5 linked regions of the Macaca mulatta genome follow. The main gene of each other region encodes a partner of the protein of the gene in region 4 in a complex. Links are inferred from orthologs where the notes say so. Each region holds a gene or a part of one and is shown on either strand. Other genes may lie near its edges.

What was found.
Region 1: the proteins of KL (region 4) and FGFR1 are in contact, whole or in part, in a cryo-EM structure (PDB 7YSH), measured with the Homo sapiens proteins. The link is inferred for Macaca mulatta from reciprocal best matches to the Homo sapiens genes KL and FGFR1. Residues at the interface, in NP_004786.2 of Homo sapiens: Ser539, Gln540, Phe541, Asp543, Leu544, Asn545, Val546, Tyr547, Leu548, Trp549, Asp550, Val551, Lys555, Arg556, Leu557, Val560, Val563, Thr565, Lys566, Arg568, Tyr571, Val573, Ala576, Glu625, Arg628; in NP_075598.2 of Homo sapiens: Asn272, Gln288, Leu290, His292, Ile293, Asn296, Gly301, Pro302, Leu305, Pro306, Tyr307, Val308, Gln309, Ile310, Leu311, Lys312, Glu322, Leu326, His327, Leu328, Arg329, Asn330, Glu334, Asp335, Thr340, Leu342, Leu349, His351.
Region 2: the proteins of KL (region 4) and FGF23 are in contact, whole or in part, in a cryo-EM structure (PDB 7YSH), measured with the Homo sapiens proteins. The link is inferred for Macaca mulatta from reciprocal best matches to the Homo sapiens genes KL and FGF23. Residues at the interface, in NP_004786.2 of Homo sapiens: Phe377, Lys385, Leu389, Glu390, Pro392, Trp417, Phe418, Ser420, Lys429, Tyr432, Tyr433, Lys436, Phe437, Arg468, Ser471, Ile472, Arg556, Arg693, Asn694, Met695, Thr696, Tyr697, Ile735, Val752, Phe755, Asp756, Asn782, Asn783, Leu785, Ile812; in NP_065689.1 of Homo sapiens: Leu39, Met74, Ala80, Val88, Arg91, Leu166, Ile167, Phe169, Asn170, Ile173, Arg175, His177, Asp184, Ser185, Glu186, Arg187, Asp188, Pro189, Leu190, Asn191, Val192, Leu193, Lys194, Pro195, Arg196, Ala197, Arg198, Met199, Thr200, Pro201.
Region 3: the proteins of KL (region 4) and FGFR3 are in contact, whole or in part, in a cryo-EM structure (PDB 7YSU), measured with the Homo sapiens proteins. The link is inferred for Macaca mulatta from reciprocal best matches to the Homo sapiens genes KL and FGFR3. Residues at the interface, in NP_004786.2 of Homo sapiens: Ser539, Gln540, Phe541, Thr542, Asp543, Asn545, Val546, Tyr547, Leu548, Trp549, Asp550, Val551, Ser554, Lys555, Arg556, Leu557, Val563, Lys566, Arg568, Tyr571, Val573, Ala576, Pro580; in NP_000133.1 of Homo sapiens: Gln286, Leu288, His290, Val291, Val293, Gly299, Thr303, Pro304, Tyr305, Val306, Thr307, Val308, Leu309, Lys310, Glu320, Leu324, Ser325, Leu326, His327, Asn328, Val329, Glu332, Asp333, Thr338, Leu340, Phe347, His349.
Region 5: the proteins of KL (region 4) and FGFR4 are in contact, whole or in part, in a cryo-EM structure (PDB 7YSW), measured with the Homo sapiens proteins. The link is inferred for Macaca mulatta from reciprocal best matches to the Homo sapiens genes KL and FGFR4. Residues at the interface, in NP_004786.2 of Homo sapiens: Ser539, Gln540, Phe541, Thr542, Asp543, Asn545, Val546, Tyr547, Leu548, Trp549, Asp550, Val551, His553, Ser554, Lys555, Arg556, Leu557, Ile558, Val563, Thr565, Arg568, Tyr571, Val573, Ala576, Gln579, Pro580, Glu625, Arg628; in NP_001341913.1 of Homo sapiens: Asp266, Gln282, Leu284, His286, Ile287, Ile289, Gly295, Ala296, Asp297, Gly298, Phe299, Pro300, Tyr301, Val302, Gln303, Val304, Leu305, Lys306, Asn311, Ser312, Glu314, Leu318, Tyr319, Leu320, Arg321, Asn322, Asp327, Thr332, Leu334, Leu341.

The regions. Positions count from the first base shown.
Region 1 is NC_133413.1:40,411,229-40,415,406, forward strand, and holds the start of FGFR1 (fibroblast growth factor receptor 1 precursor), read right to left. Parts: upstream 2,802-4,178; 5' UTR 2,182-2,801; exon of another isoform or gene 1,385-2,181; intron 900-1,384; exon of another isoform or gene 774-899; intron 1-773. UniProt on the Homo sapiens protein: Tyrosine-protein kinase that acts as a cell-surface receptor for fibroblast growth factors and plays an essential role in the regulation of embryonic development, cell proliferation, differentiation and migration.
Region 2 is NC_133416.1:5,266,270-5,270,499, reverse strand, and holds the start of FGF23 (fibroblast growth factor 23 precursor), read left to right. Parts: upstream 1-1,422; 5' UTR 1,423-1,490; coding exon 1,491-1,701; intron 1,702-4,230. UniProt on the Homo sapiens protein: Regulator of phosphate homeostasis. Inhibits renal tubular phosphate transport by reducing SLC34A1 levels. Up-regulates EGR1 expression in the presence of KL. Acts directly on the parathyroid to decrease PTH secretion. Regulator of vitamin-D metabolism.
Region 3 is NC_133410.1:1,910,163-1,914,214, reverse strand, and holds the start of FGFR3 (fibroblast growth factor receptor 3), read right to left. Parts: upstream 2,809-4,052; 5' UTR 2,588-2,808; intron 2,218-2,587; 5' UTR 2,116-2,217; coding exon 2,007-2,115; intron 1-2,006.
Region 4 is NC_133422.1:12,830,296-12,833,803, reverse strand, and holds part of KL (klotho), read right to left. Parts: intron 2,295-3,508; coding exon 1,784-2,294; intron 1,021-1,783; coding exon 752-1,020; intron 1-751. UniProt on the Homo sapiens protein: May have weak glycosidase activity towards glucuronylated steroids. However, it lacks essential active site Glu residues at positions 239 and 872, suggesting it may be inactive as a glycosidase in vivo.
Region 5 is NC_133411.1:186,058,376-186,061,883, forward strand, and holds part of FGFR4 (fibroblast growth factor receptor 4), read left to right. Parts: coding exon 1-51; intron 52-1,686; coding exon 1,687-1,797; intron 1,798-1,889; coding exon 1,890-2,080; intron 2,081-2,430; coding exon 2,431-2,553; intron 2,554-2,660; coding exon 2,661-2,731; intron 2,732-2,977; coding exon 2,978-3,115; intron 3,116-3,508. UniProt on the Homo sapiens protein: Tyrosine-protein kinase that acts as a cell-surface receptor for fibroblast growth factors and plays a role in the regulation of cell proliferation, differentiation and migration, and in regulation of lipid metabolism, bile acid biosynthesis, glucose uptake, vitamin D metabolism and phosphate homeostasis.

The sequences.
Region 1 (4,178 bases), on a different chromosome or scaffold from region 4:
CCACTTTCTGCTAAACAGTCTCAAGGCTAGATAGTATTCCAAAAAAAGCCCTGGTCCGGAGGTGCAAAGGGTAGGGCACATCTGCGGAGGAAACAGTCACCTTAATTACCACGTCTAGAGAAAGTGCGATTTCATTACAGCCTCCAAAACTACCGCCCAAAGAAGGAAACCAGAGAAGTGTTTTCAATCTGAGAGAGGCTGGAAAGAAGAGGGTGAGAGAGACTGACTCTCTCCACCCTCCCGCAACTTTGGACCACAAGGCGCTTTCCTGCCTCAAAGACTATTACCAAACACAACTGGACAATCCAACCCCCCGCTTTCAAACCTGTAGCCGTTACTTAAATGGTAAAACGCCCCACTTTAGTTTCCGGGGGATGCGTCCCAAATCAGTCCTTAAAAACACACAGGGAGCGCCTCTGGCAGCAGTCGCCCACGCCCCCGGCCCAGCGCACCGGGCTCGCTCCGGGAGGGGCGCGTGACGCCACCGAGGGGCGGCCGAGAGGGGACCGCGGGCTCCGGGCAGGGCAGGCGCTCTCGCAGCTCCAGCTATAACACAAGGGAGAGAAAGCAACGCTTTGGTTCCAGAAACTTCCATCGTCAAGGCCAGTTCTGGCCAGACGCACAGCCAAAGAGCCTCCCCTAGTCTAGCGGATGAACCGTTCGCGAATGCCACCCCCTAAAACCTTGGACCCATCTCCCAAGATGCCTCTTTTCTGCGCAATCCAGAAAGCACCCCGACCGCCGCCACCCACTAGCGGCGGCGAACAACTAACTTAGTGAGATCTTCGATAACTCGGGATCCAAGGGAACTTTCTTTTCTCAACGCCGCATCTCCATGTCTCCAGAAATGTTAAGGAGGGAGGTGGTCAAGACGAGTTGAAGAATCCGAGTTTCAATTTGGGGGAGGGGGAGGGGAGGAAGAGGGAAGTTAATAACGCGGCTGCGGTGTACCCGTGTGGGGTGAAACGGAACCAGATGCGGCTGTTACATCTGGAAAATGGGGGTGGGGGAGGGCTGGGGGAGAAAGACATCGTGGTAATGTTTTTCAAACGGGTTGATAGCTTCTGGGACCAGAACAAGAAACACGCTTCACACCCCCCGCCCCACCACCACCAAAAAAGTGTCTGGCTGCTTCATAGGGGGCGTGTGTTCTATATGAACCCCATCTACAAGGTCCACAAATTCCTCTGCAAACATGGGTCGTAGCCTCCCTTTTCTCCCAACCCTAAACATAACGGGAGGGGAAGCGGGGTGCAGAGGGGTCTGGGCCAGAGAAGCCTACGCATCGCTGCCGAGTGAACCGCACCGGACAAAAACCTCATCCCTTCCCCCACCTCCAGGAACGAGATTGGGACGGAACGGCCCTCCCGCCCCCGTCCCATACCTCGGCTTAACGACTGTGGGTCGTCCTCCCGTTCCCCAAACTTCCGACCCTCTCAGAGACCGTCCAAGTCATAAGATCACCCCTTCTGGAAAGCGGAGTCGTTTTTCGCTCTCAGCTCAAGCAGATTCAGCCATTTGGTGACGACACCTCCTTAAAGCCTATTCCAAGAGAAGCTAACCTAGCCCTCCACGTCCTCTGCAGTTCATCCCCTACTCCATTCGCCCACAACCCGGACCCCAGGTTTAGCGGGGATGGAAAAGGACTGAGGAATGTCCTGGATTTTTAGCGTTGAGCCCAAAGCTACCTGCTGAATTGGGGGTGAATCCCCAAAAGGGGACCAAAAAGAGATGGAGTGGAATGCAACACACACACAACACACACACAACGCACCCCACCTCGCCGCCCACTCCCGCCCTCCTCCCCAGTCCAGGAAACCGCGGGCCTCGCCGCTTTCGCCCCGGGCCTGTCCTTCCCAGGACTCACCGAGGAGCCGCCGCCGCCTCGCCAGCTCCCGAGCGCGAGTTGGCGGAAAAGTTGGGCAGCGGGAAGAGCGGCGGGACGAGCGTAGGGAGGGGGCGCAGAAGGAGACGCGGGCGGAGGGAAGGGAGGAGAGACCCAAGGGGGGCGCGGATCGCCCGGGAGGGAGCCGGGAGGTGGAGGGGGCGGGCGGCGAGCGGAGGGAGGCGCCGGTCCCGGCTGGGCTGCGGCGGGCAAAGCGCGCAGCCGGGAGGCTCCGGCGCCGGGGGCCGCTCGGGACGCCAAGCCAGCCCCGGATCCGGGGGCGCCGCGACTCTTACCTCGCTCGGCGTGGAGGTTCCGCCTCGGGAAAGTCCGCCGTGGCTTGCGCGAGCGGGCGTGTGCCCGCGTCCCCGGCTCCGGCCCGCCGCCCCCGGGCTCTTTTCGGGTCCTGGCGGGGTCGCGAGAGCTCCGCGGCCGGCGCTCGACTCCCGGCGGCGCTCGGTGCTCGGCGCCTCCAGCCCGGGCGGGAACAATGGAGCCGGAGCTGATGCCCCGGAGGCGGGGCGGGGGGAGGGCTCCCGTCCGCCGCCCGGGGTCTCCAGACCTTGTGCCCCTCTTTTCCAGACCGCGGCGGCGGCGTCTCACGCTCCTTGCAGACCGGGCTCCATCGTTCCGCGGAGGCCCCGGCGCCGCGGCGTGCCCGACTGCAGCACGGGTACCGTGCGCCCTGTGGGGCGCCCCGAGCTCGGACGGGAGAAAGTCCTCGGGTTCCGCGGCTTTTCGAGCAGCTGCGCGCTCGCGGCCGGGGAAGGCGAGGTCGCCGCAATGCGCTACGCGGAGTCTCGGTCCCGTCCGGACGTGGCCCTGCTGCCGGCACAGCCCGGGTTCCTCCGCGCGCTACGGCTGCACCAGCGTCCCGGCTCCCGCTCACTGCCGCCCGCCGCCGAGGACGCCGCGCCTGTGGCCGAAGGAGCGCTCCGAGCGCTGTGCGCCGGCGAGGCGCGAGGGCTCGCCCTCTCACTCCCACCGGCGCTGGTCCCTCCTCCGCCTCCGCCCCCTGCCGCTGCCTGCTGGGCCTTGTAGTTCTCCAGCCGCGGCCCCAGAGGAGGGGGAGCCGGCCGAGCGGGCCGAGCTGTCCGGCGCTCTGCCCTTCTCTTCCTGCAGCCTGGTCTCCTTTGGCGCTTGCGCCCCTGCATCTGAGCGCGTCCCAGAGGGCGCCGGAATGTCAGGCCCTAGACATAGCTGCAGTTTGGGGGGGTGTGGGGGACAGGTGAAGAGACGCCGCAGCCTTGAGATTGTACCTGGTAGCGTGGACTTTGGAGTCTGTGCACCTTGGGGAATGATTTTCGCGTTCTAAATCTCGGTTTTCCCATCTGTGAAAGGGGGATAATAGTGCTTTTTCGTATAGAGTCGAGAGGTCAACGAGGGCCTGGCGCATAGTTAACACCTAGTAAATACAAGCTGGTTTTATTATGAGAAGGTCAGCCCCTCCTCACACCCTTCCATTGGATCTCCGCTTTCCCCAGCCACATAATTTAGGTTTTGTGCTCCACCGGGAACTGGACCCTGTAAATTCTACAGCAATGTTGTTGGTCTTCAGAAGTCTCCAGCCTGAAGTGAACGTCTAGGAAGCAAAGAGTAAGTGGGAGTTGAGGGGAGAGGTGTGGTTGGTTTGGAAATTAATCACAGCCCACTCAGAACACCCTCCAGTACTGTGGAACTCAGGAAAGTGGCTAAATTCTTCCCCCTGAGTCTTGCCGCGGGGTGGTATAATGTAGTGGTTTCCTAATCCAGATGGACACGGGTCCTCCAGGGAACGTCTGAAAAATACAAATTCATGGGCCTGCTCAGACATGAGGAATCAGGCTGTCCCAAGAAGGAGCCAAAAGCCTGTATTTTTTCCAAGTCTCCGTGGGGCCTGTGATGTGAAAGCCCAGGCTGAGGCCACCGTTGGGGTGGGAAGTAGGCAGCACTAGGTCTGAAGGATTCCTCCATTCTGTCCATCATTTGTGAAGTTTGATGTACGACAAATCTTGTATCTGATAAAATCAAAACAGCAGTATCTGTTGATACTCCTTCACAAGATGATCGTAAGAATCAAATAAAATGATAGCTCTCCGTGGACCAAAAATACTACACAAATAGAAGTCACTATGTAAGTTAGTGGCAGGGCCTGTTCACCTCATCCCCAAAACTTGTAGAAGTTTGAATACTGAATGAGTTACCCCCACCCAACTCCTCACCCACCCCACCCACGCCTCCCTGGCTAATTTAAGAAAAGAGTTGGGGGAGGGGGGCGGTGGCTCACACCTGTAATTGCAGCACTTTGGGAAGC
Region 2 (4,230 bases), on a different chromosome or scaffold from region 4:
GTGCCTTTGACATGGAAAAACTGAGATCTCAATTTCTCCATGTAAAGTATTAAAATCTTGATAATGCATGGTGTGCCCCTCTCACAGAGTGGCAGTGAGGTTCAAATGAGCTAATAGATGTGAAAATGCTTTGTAAACTATTAAAAAAAACTGCACAAATGTAGGGTAACAGATGCCATTTCTTTCTGTCTATACCTGTATGCTTGCACTCATTTTGTATTACGGTTACTTATTTTTATCTGCCTCCTGCAGTAGATTTGAGCTCCTCGAGATAGGAATCACATCTTGCTGTCTCCTATATCAACTTGTACGTGATGTCTAGCTTGATGCCTGTACATGGCATGTACTCAGTACATGGGAAATTGGAAGAGGAGCAGTCTCCTTGGGTATTTTTTCGGGTGTATGTTGCAGTAGCTTGCTCCCCTTTAGACTGTGCGTGCCAGGACTATTTCCCCCAACATGAGGTGTAGCTTCCCAGAGGGCGCACTGTGAACAGCATCTGCAGGCAGGCATCCAGCACCAAGCTGAGCACTCATGTACAGACACTAAATGTGGGGACACCCTGTCCTGAGGCTCGGATTCCCGGTGCTCAGCCAGCAGCCTTTCCAATCCCCATGAGGTCTCTGAACGGGTCTCCTTACTCCTGGAGAGACTATTCATTTAGTTGTCCTCGATAGTCCAAACTAGGGAAACTGAGAAATTGAAACTTGGCATGTTCAGCGAAGTCCAAACTAAGGACGCTGAGAAATCGAACCTTGGCATGTTCAGGGACCTCAAGACCTTGCTTCTTTTTCTTCCATTTCAAAATCTTCCCAAAATGGCAACTTTGGTTTTTGTGCCCCTGCTCCCAGCTCCCATCTTTCACGAATTGGGGGTTCTCAGAGGATGCCATCTGCCTGACGGTGTCATGTATCTCTATATCCTACAAGCTAGCCACCGAATCCTGCTCATAGATTAAGCACTGGATACATACTTGCTGATTGGAATTTAAAGAAAACCAAAATAAGTAAACTCGACGGGAGATTAATTGCCTGGGAGTCGGTTGACTGCTTGACTGAAGCTGGATTTTTTTTGGGAACCGCTGGCTGCCTTCGCATTTCCTGATGGACGTGGGACAGGTCAACAGACAGCCCAGAGCGGCAGATAACTTTTGCCCACGCGTCATTCATTTTTTTGGAGCGTTGGCTTGAAATTGAGGGGGGTGTGTGTGTCTGGAACCGACGTGCCTTCCGTGCGCCTCCGGGGTCTCTGCACTCTCTTTCAATGGGCTGATTACAACACAGAGGATGTGGACAGCGGAGTTTTTCCTGTTTGATGTCACACTGCTACCCTTTAAAAGTCTGATGGCAAAAAGGAGGGAATTCAGTCTAGGATCCTCACACCAGCTACTTGCAAGGGAGAAGGAAAAGGCCAGTGAGGCCTGGGCCAGGAGAGTCCCGACAGGAGTGTCAGGTTTCAATCTCAGCACCAGCCACTCAGAGCAGGGCGTGATGTTGGGGGCCCGCCTCAGGCTCTGGGTCTGTGCCTTGTGCAGCGTCTGCAGCATGAGCGTCATCAGAGCCTATCCCAATGCCTCCCCATTGCTCGGCTCCAGCTGGGGTGGCCTGATCCACCTGTACACAGCCACAGCCAGGAACAGCTACCACCTGCAGATCCACAAGAATGGCCACGTGGATGGCGCACCCCATCAGACCATCTACAGTGAGTAGGACTTCAAGCTGGGAAGAAGGGGTGCGCCCCTGTTGTCCATCTACAGGGGGCTTGGGGAGGTTGGGGACTAGACTGGAGGGCTAATCCAACCCTCCAAGCTTTCTGCCCAGGAACCACTTATTGTCTGTGTGTGTGTGTGTGTGTGTGTGTATTTAAATCTTAGGGGAAGATTCTGTCACTCTCCTAATTAGTATTTGCTGGTTTTTCTAACATGCATACTTTTTGTTTAAACTAAAACCCTTCCCACAGTAGGAGCCATATTCCCTTTGCCCCATCAAAAGATTCAGAAAATATACTGAAAGAAAAGCAAGGAGTCTAAGAGAAAAAGAAGCCAGGCAGATCAACAGACACTAAGTTTCAGCTCCTGGACTTCAGGCTGGGTTAACTAGGCAGGTTGGAAAGAAGATTCCCAGGTCATACCCAGATTGTAATAGATAAATCTGGGGGCTCTTTCCAATTCTGGCCTTATAAAAATTCTTGGAAAAATGTATTAAACACAGACTGTCCAGGAATGTTGTCTTGGTGAGAATGGCCAAGTATACAACCCATCCACCCATTCATTTGTCCATGCATCCATCCATCCAACCTTTAAACTTTAACAGGTTTAAAGGCTGTTTCAGATACTCAGGTACCCCGGTACCCAGTACGCATTGGTGATTCTTCTCCGTGGAACTGAAAGGTGTCCAGTCAGTAGCAAATCAAGCTAGTTAGAAACTTATTGGCAATGTGAGACAACTGGAATGTTTTTAAAGATCAGGTTTGTGGAGAATCGGATCACAATCCACAATAATCAATCCATTAGCAATGATTCAAATGAGGGCCACTTTGTGCGCACCTATATAAGGGGTAATGTGGTGGGAGCAGGGATATTGAAAAAGACTGGATCTTCTATTTTAAGAAAACATGTGAATACCTCTAAGAATATATAAAAATGCAAAGTGATCCAATATAGCTCAAATTAAGGGAAAGAAAAATTAGTTAGACAATCTCTAACTAAAGAAAACATAGGAATTATGATTTGCCTTTTATTGTTGTAATAAGTTAATTATTTTTGCTGTGACCTTGCTGTGTGTGAGGCATTTATTCTTCTAGGAACCAAAGGTCCTTAAACCTGGTTGCAAGATATATAACATGCAAAATTAAGTTGCAAGATATATGACATGCGAAATTGACAGTTTAAACCTCCTCAAGTGCTAGATGCATATTGATAGGAGATAAAAGGAGAGAGAAAAGTTCTCTCCAAATACCAAACAGGTTCCAGAACTCTAGAGGATATACTAAGACTCAGGAGTCAACATCTTGGAAACCAAGTGTGAGTCTCGTGGCAAAAATTTCAATTAAATCTGGATATACTTGATGAACCCCAAGTGTTGTTCATTTTATTCAATGGATATTTAACAGGATCTACAATGTGCCTGGCATTCTATCAAGCTCTGTGACTGAAAAGTAAGACACAACCCCTCAAGGACCTTGTGGTCTGTCGTCCTGCCTTGTCAGCTAGCTCACTACCAGACTTTAGGAAACGCGACTTTGCGCCTCTCATGGAGTGGCCACTCTTACTCTAATTCAAGACTCTATGTGATTTAAAATGCAGAATAGTAGATGATGGTAAATTGTTTTGATTCTCTTAGATGGAAAGGGCGGCATCCAACTAGAGAATGTTTACACAACTTGTCTCGAATCCTGGAATCCCATTGCTGAAAGGAACTCCTTAAAGACGTTTCCTCCTGAACAAGAATTAGGGTAGAACGGAACAGGCTGGCTACGGTGGGGAGTGAGTGTGAAGAGTCGACCTCCTGGGCTGGCATTCTGAACTGTAGACCTTTTCCTTGAAAACCCACCTCGTATCAGGCCCCAAGGGATCACTGAGTGCTAGCTGAATTAAAAGGATTGAGAGGCAGCAAAACAAATGGAACTGACTTCAGATCTTTAAAAACAGAAATACGGTTTTGTTTTCTTAGACACAGGCACTAGCTAAACATTGCATCTTTAAAGAGTTAAACACGAATATGGGGAGGGGAACTTAGGGTCAGGGGAGTGGGAGAAAGATCTGCTTTTCCTAGTCTATGTAGATAACTTTTTGTACTGTTCAATCAGTTGTCACGTGTATTATGGGGGGGAAAAAGTGCAGGAAAAAAATTACACAATACAATTAAAAGTTACCCAAAAGAGGCCAGGTGTGGTGGCTCATGCATATAATCCCAGCACCTTGGGAGGCCAAGGCAAGAGAATCACTTGAAGTCAGGGGTTAAAGACCAGCCTGGCCAACATGGGGAAACCCTGTGTCTACTAAAAATACAAAAATTAGCTGGGCGTGGTGGTGCGCGCCTGTAATCCCAGCTACTTGGGAGGCTGAGGCAGGAGAGTTGCTTGAACCCAGGAGGCGGAGGTTGCAGTGAGCTGAGATCACACCACTGTGCTCCAGCCTGGGCGACAGAGCGAGACTCCGTCTCAAAAAAAAAAAAAAAAAGTTACGTAAAAAGAAAGAGGAAAGATTAATGCACGTAGATAAGAATCACA
Region 3 (4,052 bases), on a different chromosome or scaffold from region 4:
TCCTCCAGGAGACCCCCAAGCCCCTGGACTCCCACCCAAGCTCAGCTGTAACAAGGGGTGCCCCATTCCCAGTTCCAGCTCCAAGTACCTGAGAGCTGGGGGGCTGGGGGGTGAGTAACGAGGGGTTCCTAGGCTCACACAAGGACCTGGAGGCCACGCTCAGCCCAGGTTAATGAACCACCCAGAGGCCCACGCGGCTCAAAGTCCAGCCCGGCAGAGGAGGGGTGGGGGAGGATTCAGTCAGCACCTTCAGGAAAGACCCTGCACCCCGAGACCCCTGCTGGGGGGTGTGGCGCTGTGGGAGAGCCGACCTTGTCTTCCTCCCTGCACCCTGGGGGGTCCCCCTAGGCTCCAACCAGGAACACAGCCCTCTGGGGAGATGGCGGCTGTCCTGGCAGGGCCTGGGGTGGCCAGGGCAGTCCAGGGGCCAAAACCTTCCCCACCGCCCTTGACCACTGCCAGCCAAGGCTCCATAATTTATGTTCCCAGGCAAGCGCCAGCCTAGACCTCAGTCCATTTCACGAGGTCTTTGTATTTTTACTGCCCGGCCCATCTTGTTAAGGAACCGGATTAAATTTATTGACCGATCAACTCACTACCTGTTTCACCAGCTCCAGTGCGGGCGGGGTCGCCGCCCCAAGGCGGGGGGCGGGGCGTTCCAGGGGCGAGAAGGGGAGGCCCCGCGCGCCCGCCGGGGATCCGGGAGACGCTCTGTAGCCTGGCCGCCGCCCCTCCCCGGGGCTGGCTGACATTCCCGGGCCGTAGGGAGTAATATCTTTATCTGAATGAGAATACGAAAGCCAGGCTCCCCCCGCGGCCGCCCCTCCCGCACCCCTGGAAGCGGGGCCGCCCGAGCAGGCGCTAAAAGCGCGCGCTGACCTCCCGACGGCCCCTGTCACGCCGCTGAATGACACGCACATTCAAGCGCCGGGCCACTTTCATTCATAAAAAAAATGACATTGTTCCGGGAGGCTGCAGCCGCCGCCGGAGAAAGGGGCGCGGGGGCGCGGGCGGGGCGGCCGCCATCTGCCTCGGCCCTCCCGGCGCCCTCCCCGGCCCGCCGCGCCCGCAGCCGCTCACACCTCCCCGCGAGCCGCCGCGCCGCCATCAATGCGCGGTCTGTGGCCGCGCCGAGGTACAAAGGAGCGGCTGTTCGGGCCTGGGCCCGGGTGGGGCGCGAACTCACCGGGCCAGGGCCTCCCTCCGCGCGGCCGCCGGGCTGGGCTGTGCGCGCCCCCTTCGCCCGCCCGGAGCCGGCAGCGTGTACGGGGCGGCGGCACCGGAGCTCTCGGCCCGACCCGCGAGGAACCGCGGCGCGCGTGCAGGGCGGGCCGGGCGCCCCTTCCCCTCACCTCCCTTCAGACACTTGACGTCCCGCAGGACCTGGACCGCCAGCCCGGTCTAGGGCCCGCGACGCTGGGACACGCGCTCCTCGCTCGCCTGGAGCTCGGCGCGCACCCACGGGGAAGCGCCCTCAGCCCCCAGGCACTGGCAGGGTCGGCAGCGGGGGCGCTGGAGGCTGCAGCCTCGTCCGGCGGGCAGGGGCCGGGCTTCGCTGACGCGCACACCCACCCTCAGAAGTCCGGCCTCTCCCCTTGGCCGAAGCTCGCCACAAACTGGGGCCCGGGGGAGGGGGACGCCAACAATGGGAACTTTCCGTCTGCGCAGAACCCGAAGAACAGCGGGAATCGTGGAAATGGGGAAACCCGCGCCCTCCCGACAGGCCAGGGCTGGGGAGCCGCAGGGGACGGGGCTGCGGACGCCAACCCCCGGCCTGGCTCCCAGTGGCGGCCTCGCATTTGGGGGGTACCTGCGGCTCCAGGCGCCCCACAAGTCGCCGCGCTACCGCTGGCCGCGCTCTCCGGGACGGAGACAGCGGAATCCGGGCGCTGACCCCGGGGCGTCACTCACACCCGGAGTTCCCTCCGACCTGGGGCCGGTTCCCGTCCCCAACGCCTCTGCCCGCACGGGCCGGCCCCTCCCGTGCCCAGTGGGTCCCTTCTTACCTGCCACTCGCCCCACGACGCGCTGCTCCGTCCCCAAGGACTCCGAGGAGGCGCCGGCCACGATGGCCACTGCCACGCAGAGCGCGAGGGCGCAGGCAGGGGCGCCCATGGCGGGGGCGGGGGCCGCGGCGTCCTCAGGCGGCGCACGCGGGCATGCTGCCCCCCACGGCCCGGCGCGGGCACCGGCGGGAGGCGGGCGCCGCTTGGGAAACTGCGGGAGGAGGAGGGCAGCTCGTTAGCGGCGCGGGTAGGGACGAAAGCGGCGGTGGCCGGCTCCTGCGCCCCGACCCCTCCGACCCCCAGCCGCCCCGCCCGCCGCCGCCGCCGCCCAGAGCTCCCGGGCCGCCTGGCGCCGGCCGCCTCCTCCCCGCCGCGGTTCCTCCCTCCTCCCCCTTCCCTCCCTGGCTGCTGCAGAGCCCTCCCAGGGCGGCGGCGGCGGCGGCAAACTTTCCGGAGCGGGAAGCCCGCGCCCCGGCCCGGCCCGCCGCAGGGACTGCTGTGGTTCCGCGACTGCCGCGCCCCGGCCCCTCCGCGCGCACCGTTGGACCCCTCCGCGCGCCTGCCCGGACCCAAGCACCGACCTGGCGGGCGCCGGAGTCCGGCTCGCTAGGCGCGGCTCCCGCTCCGGCTCGCTGTCCGCAGGCCCAGCTCCCGCCCCGTCCCTCCGGCCGGCGGCCCGCCGGTGCGTCCGTGCGACCGGCAGAGCAGGACCGCGCGGCGCCAGCTGCTCGCGACGCCGCCACCGCCGCCGCCGCCGCCACCGCGCACTGAGCCTGGGTTGCCCCGCGCGCCGCAGCCAGTGGGGGACGGTCCGCGCCCCGCCCCGGCCCCGCCCCGCTCCCGCCCGGCCCCCGCCCGACTCGCCGGGGCGCAAGGCACGCCCCCTCGGGGCGGAGCGGGGCATCCGAGGGGGCGTGGCCGGGCGGGGGCGCCCGGCGGTCTCGAGGGCGTGGGAGCCGGGGCAGGCGGGCGAGGCCCCCAATCGCACCGCGGGGCGGCCCGGTGGGCGGTGGGCACGGGGCGCACCGAGGGCGAGCGCAGGCTTCCGTTTGCACAGCGCGCAGCTCGGGTCCCCTGAGGCTGTGCTCAGGAGCTCAGAGGGGAGGTCTCGGCGGGGGTCGGGATGTCAGGAGGCGTCGCCAAGATGCCGCGGAGCTGAACCCTGTGGTGTGAGCGGGAATTCCTCAGGTGGAGGAGGGCAGGGCGGCATTCCAGGCCGAGCCTCCGGTGTGCGCCGCAGGCCTGGGGCAGCCCGGTGCGGCCTGCGTACCTGACTGGCAAGGAGCAGAGGCTGCGTTGACTAACCTGGGGCCGAGCCGCATGCACCTAAGCCGCCTGAGTGCCCAGCCCCGAGAGGTCCCTACCCCTGCCCCCCAGGAGGACACAGGCCTGGGACTGGCTGCCTGCCCGGCCTAGAATGAAGGGCAGGGGCTGGAGACCCCTGGCTTGGGGAGCGCAGCCCGGCTCTGAGGGAGAATAACGAAGAGCTGGTGGCAGAGCCTGAGCTGGCCCGAGGTTCTAGGCTCCACGGGGCGGGCTCAGAGTCCAGCTGAGGAGGGTTGGGACTGGTGAGGTGGGTTCCCAGGAGGGGAAGATACTGCCCTGCGGGGGACGCTGCGGGTGTCTGGGTCCCCTTACCCCACATGACTGTTAGCTTCTGTGTCCACCCTCACAAGGAAAAGGCCAACTGCTCCCATCTTCAGGCAAAGCCCAAGGGGGTCCGGAGCCCATGGGAGCCAGTGAGCTGGGGGGAGGGCCGGCCGAGTCTGCTGCCCGCCTGGCTTGTGGCTTCCAGGACTAAATGTAGTCATCAGGAAAATGGGCGCTAAAAGTCCCTCAGTGACTGGCTGTTTGCTGACCCTACCCAGCCCATGCACAGCTCAACCCTGCAGCTCCCAGAGGCCAGGGTGTCCCTGGACTGACCTCAGGGCCTTGGAAGGGCTCTGCTCCCAGGGAGCCCTCATGCCCACCTCTCTGTGCCCACTTGGTGGCTCAGCACTTGTCCTCGGCCACCCTTGTTTCCTGCTCTGGCCAAGTCCATGTCCC
Region 4 (3,508 bases):
GCATCTCAGTGTACCCTCTACCTGCATTCCGCTTAACCAAGCGACCCGAGCAACTAACACAAGGCTTTGGAGACACTAGACATCCAATAAGTGCTTACTAGAGTATCCAATCAAATGCTGGAAAACAAGTCCCTTCAAAATTTGGGAAATTTAAAAGAATGTTAAGGGCTTACTACTGAGAAGATGCTCAATAAATATTGGTTGATCATTTTGAAGAAATTTCATATCATTTCAAAGACTATTGCTAAAAAAGACATTCTGACCAGTGAATCACTGGATCTAGGGTTTACTTTCTTAGGGTATCTCTGCACATTTGTGGAGCCCACAGTTGTGCCTCTGGAGGAGTCCGCCTCATGTTCCTGCCTCTGTCTCAGCCCCACCACTGAAACTCGGAGGCTTTGGAGTTTTGTGTTAGATCCTGTTCGTGAAAAAACTCAACTGCCTTAAAAAGGATCAAAAACCACAATGTGAAAAGAGAGTGTTTTATCTTTTCACTGTCTTAATCGGATCTTAAATATTGATATGTTTTAAATTTATTTCTCTTTGCATCTAACTTAAACAAGATGAAGATAGGAAGATTTCTGGAGAGCAGGGTGCAACATTCCAAACTGTATCCTTAGTGTGCTCATAAGGAATTGGTTTTGGCTCTAAGAACGGACAATGTGCCGTGACAATCAGCCTAGGAAGGAAGCACTACTTACTAGTGATAGGGCTTGGTGAGACTGCTGATAGGTTTTGCCAGCTGACTTACTTGAATGTAGTTGTCAACAATTCCCCAAGCAAAGTCACAGGGAAATGTCCCTTCTAGGGGCTGATTTTCAGGTAAAGGAGGGAAGCCATTTTTCTCTATCAGCTTTTGGTAGAACAAGGCTGAAGACTTTGGCAACAACGTCTTTTCCTGGCTTAGAAAGTCGACATAGAAGAGTCCACGCCTGATGCTGTAACCTCTGTGCCACTCGAAACCGTCCATGAGGGACCACGCGGTGTACCCGATGACATCTACCCCATCCAGCTTGATGGCTGCAAAGGGAAGAGGGGACAAGAGCAACACGACCCTTCGCTGGGCACTTGCATCATGATTCAAGAGCATCTGAGCGTTCTCCTACTTAAATAAAGTGTAATGCTTCTTGTTTGGTAAGCCAATGATTTCTCTTCTTGACAAACACTCTAATCAAACCTATATAACTCTACAAATAAATGCCCTCAAAATAGGCCTATCAATATGTTTTTTTGGATTTCTGAGCACCTCGACAGAATAATTCCTTATTTATAATAGATGTTCTACAGGGCTGGAAAGATGTCTTGTACCACTTTCCATCCTAGACACCCAGCATTGTGTCTGATGCAATAAATAAATAAATGAAGGCTTTAAAAGCATGATCTATTTATACTGTTTTCTCTAGGAAACATGGACATTCCTTTTCCTTTAAAGTGTTTTACTCAACCAAAATAACAAGAACTGAAAAACATGTGCAGAGAGCTAGATATCCTGGGATTTATGTTCAATTTAATCTAAAAATCTAGATTAGTAACTCTGAAAGTTAAGTAATTACAAATATTATAACCCAGTTTCTCATTTACAAATGGGTTTTTAAAAATTACTTCAAGTTCCTCAAGACCCCAAATGAGAAAGGTGTTACACGAATGCATTCCTACTATTGCCAAATTGAATGTCTCCATTAGGATTTAAAAATATAAATTCACATAGTTCATGTTAGATAATCTTGGAGATTTTTTTCTAGAAGACTTTGGCAGGAAATGAGAACTTTACCCAAAATCATACCTTTTAAGGTTTCCATGATGAACTTTTTGAGGTAATACATATATTTGGCATCATCTCTCTTAGTGGTCCCTGAGACAAACCAGCCATTTTCCACAATAAATATTTGAGGATGGTTATATTCAAGGTCAATCCAGGAAAGCAGTTGTCTCAGGCTGGGAGATTCTAATTGGCGGAATTTCATGTGAGGGTCCAAAAGTTGAAAACTCAAGGTTGGACCAAAGGAAAGAGCAAAAAAGTCAGCAGTTCCTTTGATGAACTTTTTCTCAGATTCAGTAAAATCAGGCAGAAGAGACGAAAGGTTATTCTTCATGCTCTCGGGATAGTCACCATCAATAAATATGGGTTTGGCAAACCAGCCTAGTACAAAGTCCAGAGATTTTTGACATTCTTTGATGCTATGGTCGGTCATTCTTCGAGGATTGATCCAGTGAGAGCTTAGGGCGATGGACACCTGGCCTCCCTGAGTGGGACGGAAAGAAGTATTGTAGAGATGCCAGACTTTGGCATGAGCCTATGAAAAGAAAAACCATGACGAATTTATCTCTAGTTGTGAAGAGAAATGCAATATAATACTTGAATCCCCAACTCAAATTATATGTTTCTCATCAAGCCTAACTTAATGACTAACAATGTAAAAATCAGCTGGAACCAATAAATTATTTCAAAGGTAGGTCACCCCACAGTGAGGTGCTACCAGGACTAGAGTTATTTCCATTGATTTTTAGCAGTCAGTGGAAAAATGTAAATTCCTTGGGTTGAGTGTGTGTTATCCACATTTTGAAAAGCTAATGAAATAAAAGAATTTGTTATAATATCTTACTATTTAATTGACTTTGGATTATGTACTTTTTAATTTACGGGTTTTGTGAAAAGAACCAATGCTACATCTGTGATCACACCAGGAATTTCTAAATAGGATTATATTTTTTATCCTGAAACTGGGAGTTTTCAAAATGACTCAGGTCATTGGAGTTAATTTACTGTTTCAGAGTCATCTCTCATAGCTAAAATTCTAACAAGCAATCTTCATTCTTCCCTAAGAAGAATCAGTACAATAAATTAAAGAACCCACTCCAGTATCTAACCTTGGCCTACCCTCCAGAACTCTGGGACAGTTCTGGTTTCCCACAGACCCAGGGTGCAAGGTACAAGCCAAGAGCAAAAAACAGCAAAATACAGCTGCAAGGAGATCAGATGTCCATTGTTTGCATGCAGCCAGGAGTTTCGTACAGCAATGAAAAGGGCTTTGCATCCATAAAACCAACTTTATACTCCCATAAATTCTTACTGACTTCTAATATCTTATTTTCATTTGTTTCCTTTTTATCTACAAAGAAGAGTGAAAATTATAGGAGTTTTTTCTCCCCTACTTGAAGTGAGTTTCTCTTTCCCTTTGAATTCCTTGATTTACTCTCCCTATTTTCCTACAAAGACAAGTGTTGTTTATCAGCCTTTATTCCCCTAACATATCCTCTTTGAAAACTCCATTCTCATTCTCTGCTTGACTCCATATATTCTCCAGAATGATCATGCCAATTTTCATTCCACTTCCTGGGCCTGCAGAAACTCCTTTGTTCATTGAGCCAAATAGCCTCTTCAACATATCCTAAATATTCCTCTCTTGGTTCAATTCAGTACAGGCACCCAAGAATGGCCTCATCAACATTCTTAGGGGTTCAGCCTAACATTTCAATGGAATAAGATAGTTTATGGCTAACTTTTCTT
Region 5 (3,508 bases), on a different chromosome or scaffold from region 4:
ACCCTGCCCGACCTGACCAAGCCAGTACTGTGGCTGTCAAGATGCTCAAAGGTGAGTGTGACCCAGCGTGGTGGCTCACACCTGTAATGCCAGCACTTTGGGAGACCGAGGTGGGAGGATCACTTGAATCCAGGAGTTCGAGGCCAACCTGGGCAACATGGCGAGACTTCATCTCTAAAAAAAAAAATAAGAAAATTAGTTGGGTGTGGTGGTGTGTGCCTTTAGTCCCAGTTACTAGGAAGGCTGAGGCAGGAGGATCCCTTGAACCCAGGAGTTGGAGGTTGCAGTGAGCCATGATCACGCCACTGTATTCCAACTTGGGCAACAGAGTGAAACCCTATCTGAAAAAAAAAAAAGAAATAAAAGTAAAAGGTGAATGTGGCAGCCTGGAGGAGGTGCTATGGCATTGGGACTAATAGAAGGGGATCACAGTGCTACCGGGTGAGCCCTGGAGCTGGGAGAGGCTGTGGGATCCCACCTTTAAACCTGCAGTTCAGCTCTGCTCCTGACCCTGGCAAGTGACTTCTGAGCCTCAGTTTTCCCTCGTGTCATATGGGGTAAATAACAGTCCCTACTCCCAGCCCAGGGACTGTGGAAAGTGCCTGGCTCATAGTCAGCCCTCAACAAATCGTCACCATTGGGGTGACGATGATGAGAAGGATTTGGTGTGACAGGCTTGATATCCTCTGTCAGCGTCAGTCTGTGTCAGCCTTGACTTCACCTCTTCTCAGCCTCACAGGCCCTCCCCCGCCTTCCCTGTGGTTCCCCCCAGACACACCCTCAGCCTCCCTGGGACCCTCCCTAGGTCCATCCCGCGTCCACTGCTCTAGGAGGACAGCCCTTCTGCTTGCACCCAGTCCCAGCCCCGAGGGTGCTCTTGCCAGGCACTCCCGTACCCCGCCCATCAGGTCCTCTCGTTGCAGTTCCCCAGCGCCCCCTGCAAGAATGGCCTCAACTGCTCTTCTGCTCCTCCCCTCCTCTCTACACAGCTGGGGCCACCTGGTGCTCCCTGGGAGGCAGGGATTGAGAAATGTGCATTGTGACATTGCCGTGTGTGGGTGGGGAGTGTTACATCACTGGCCCAGGGCCACAGGTCAGCCCCAGGGGCCCAGCCAGAGAAGCCAGAGCAGCCTTCTTCCCAAGCTCCCTGGCTGCGCCCTGCCTGCCGCCGGCTCCCTGAATTCCCAGGCCAGTTGGACGCCAGGCCCTGGTCAAACAGACCCCAGGGTGCCAGCCTGCTTTCCGCTCCCAGAAGCTCTGACCCCATGTAGGGACTACCGCTAACCCCTCCAGAGGCAGCTTCCTTCCTGCTCCGAGCTCTTCCCCTCTCTCCTGTTTCCTGGACCTGCCCACTGGAAGGCCTGCCTCTCAGATCCTTGATATAGTTGCATCCTTGCAACTGCTGTGACAGGTAGGGTGTGACCCACTGCTCTGTTTCCCACAAGACGACCCTGAGGTTCAGAGACACTAGGAGACTTTTTCAAGGCCACACAGACTAGCAAGGATTCAGCCCTAGACCTACGTAGCCCTGGTCCAGTGCTCCTCGCCCTGCCCCTGCCTCTACCTCGCCCTGCCCCTGCCTCTGCCTCGCCCTGCCCCTGCCTCTGCCTCGCCCTGCCCCTGCCTCTGCCTGTTCCCTCATGTAGTTGGAGAGCAGCCTCTTCACCCCATCTGCTGCCCTTACAGACAACGCCTCTGACAAGGACCTGGCTGACCTGGTCTCGGAGATGGAGGTGATGAAGCTGATTGGCCGACACAAGAACATCATCAACCTGCTGGGTGTCTGCACCCAGGAAGGTGGGGCCAAGGCGGGGCCGGCTGCATGGGCCGTTAGGGTACAGAGCCAAAGCTGTGGCAGTCTCTCCGAGCTCCCTCCACTCCCTCTGTAGGGCCCCTGTATGTAATCGTGGAGTGCGCTGCCAAGGGAAACCTTCGGGAGTTCCTGCGGGCCCGGCGCCCCCCGGGCCCTGACCTCAGCCCGGACGGTCCTCAGAGCAGTGAGGGGCCACTCTCCTTCCCAGTCCTGGTCTCCTGCGCCTACCAGGTGGCCCGAGGCATGCAGTATCTGGAGTCCCGGAAGGTACAGGCGGTAGGGCTCTGGGCCCCTCTCGATCTCTCCAGCTCCACTCTCTCAGGCCTGTGGCATTAAATGTCCCCAACTTCTTCCTTTCTGCTCTTTTTCATGACCCCACCTCAGTGTCCCCAGGCATTCATGCTTTCCTGCCTTCCCCACTTGTTCCTCACACTTCCCTAGAAGGGAGAGGGGAGAGGGGAGAGGGGACACAGGAGAGGGCGTTCCCCATTTCTAAACCTTGACCACCTCCTCTGTAAAGTGGGTGGAGGGCCCCTGCCCCTGGGCCTGCTGGGGGGTGGTGTGTGCTCAGCTCAAGGTCAGGTGTCCTGATGCACCCAAGCCCCCACTCCCTGCAGTGTATCCACCGGGACCTGGCTGCCCGCAATGTGCTGGTGACGGAGGACAATGTGATGAAGATAGCTGACTTTGGGCTGGCCCGTGGCATCCACCACATTGACTACTATAAGAAAACCAGCAACGTGAGGGAGATGGGGCAGAACTGGATGGGAGTGGAGGGGGGCTGGGCCTGGGGTGGCAGGCATGGGAACTCGTGGGACTCTGCACTGAGGCCCTCCCTCCCCTCCAGGGCCGCCTGCCTGTCAAGTGGATGGCGCCCGAGGCCTTGTTTGACCGAGTGTACACACACCAGAGTGACGTGTGAGTCCTGCCAGCGGTCACTGTCCTACCCCACAAAAAGGGCAAGGCACTGCCCAAAGTCACATGGCCCCAGGAGGCCTGCGCTCCAGGGCTCCTTCAGATTTGTTCTGGGATCCGAGTGGGACCACACTCCAGGAGGAGCCCACTCCCCACCAGCTGGGGTGGGTCATGCCTGTGGGGTCCCGCGTCCTAGCCCTGGTCTTAGGGAGGGCGCTGGGCCACACTGAGCCCTGGCCCTGCCTCCAGGTGGTCTTTTGGGGTCCTGCTGTGGGAGATCTTCACCCTCGGGGGCTCCCCGTATCCTGGCATCCCGGTGGAGGAGCTGTTCTCACTGCTGCGGGAGGGACATCGGATGGACCGACCCCCACACTGCCCCCCAGAGCTGTGAGGCCTCATCCTGCCCTCGACCCCCACTTTCCAGTCCTCCTCCTCTGCCCTGACCTTGGCCTCAGGGTTTGTGCCGGCCAGAAGGACAACACTAACAACAACTCCTCCTCCTCTTCCTCTTCCTCCTCCTCCTCCTCTCCTCCTCCTCTCCTCCTCATCCTCTCCTCCTCCTCCTCTCCTCCTCATCTTCCTCTCCTCCTCTCCTCCTCCTCCTCTCCTCCTCCTCCTCTCCTCCTCATCCCCTCCTCCTCCTCCTCTCCTCCTCATCTTCCTCTCCTCCTCTCCTCCTCCTCTCATCTTCCTCCTCCTCTTCCTCTCCCTCTTCCTCTCTTCCTCGTCTCCTCCTCCTCCTCTCCTCCTCCTCCTCTCCTCCTCCTCTCCTCTCCTCTT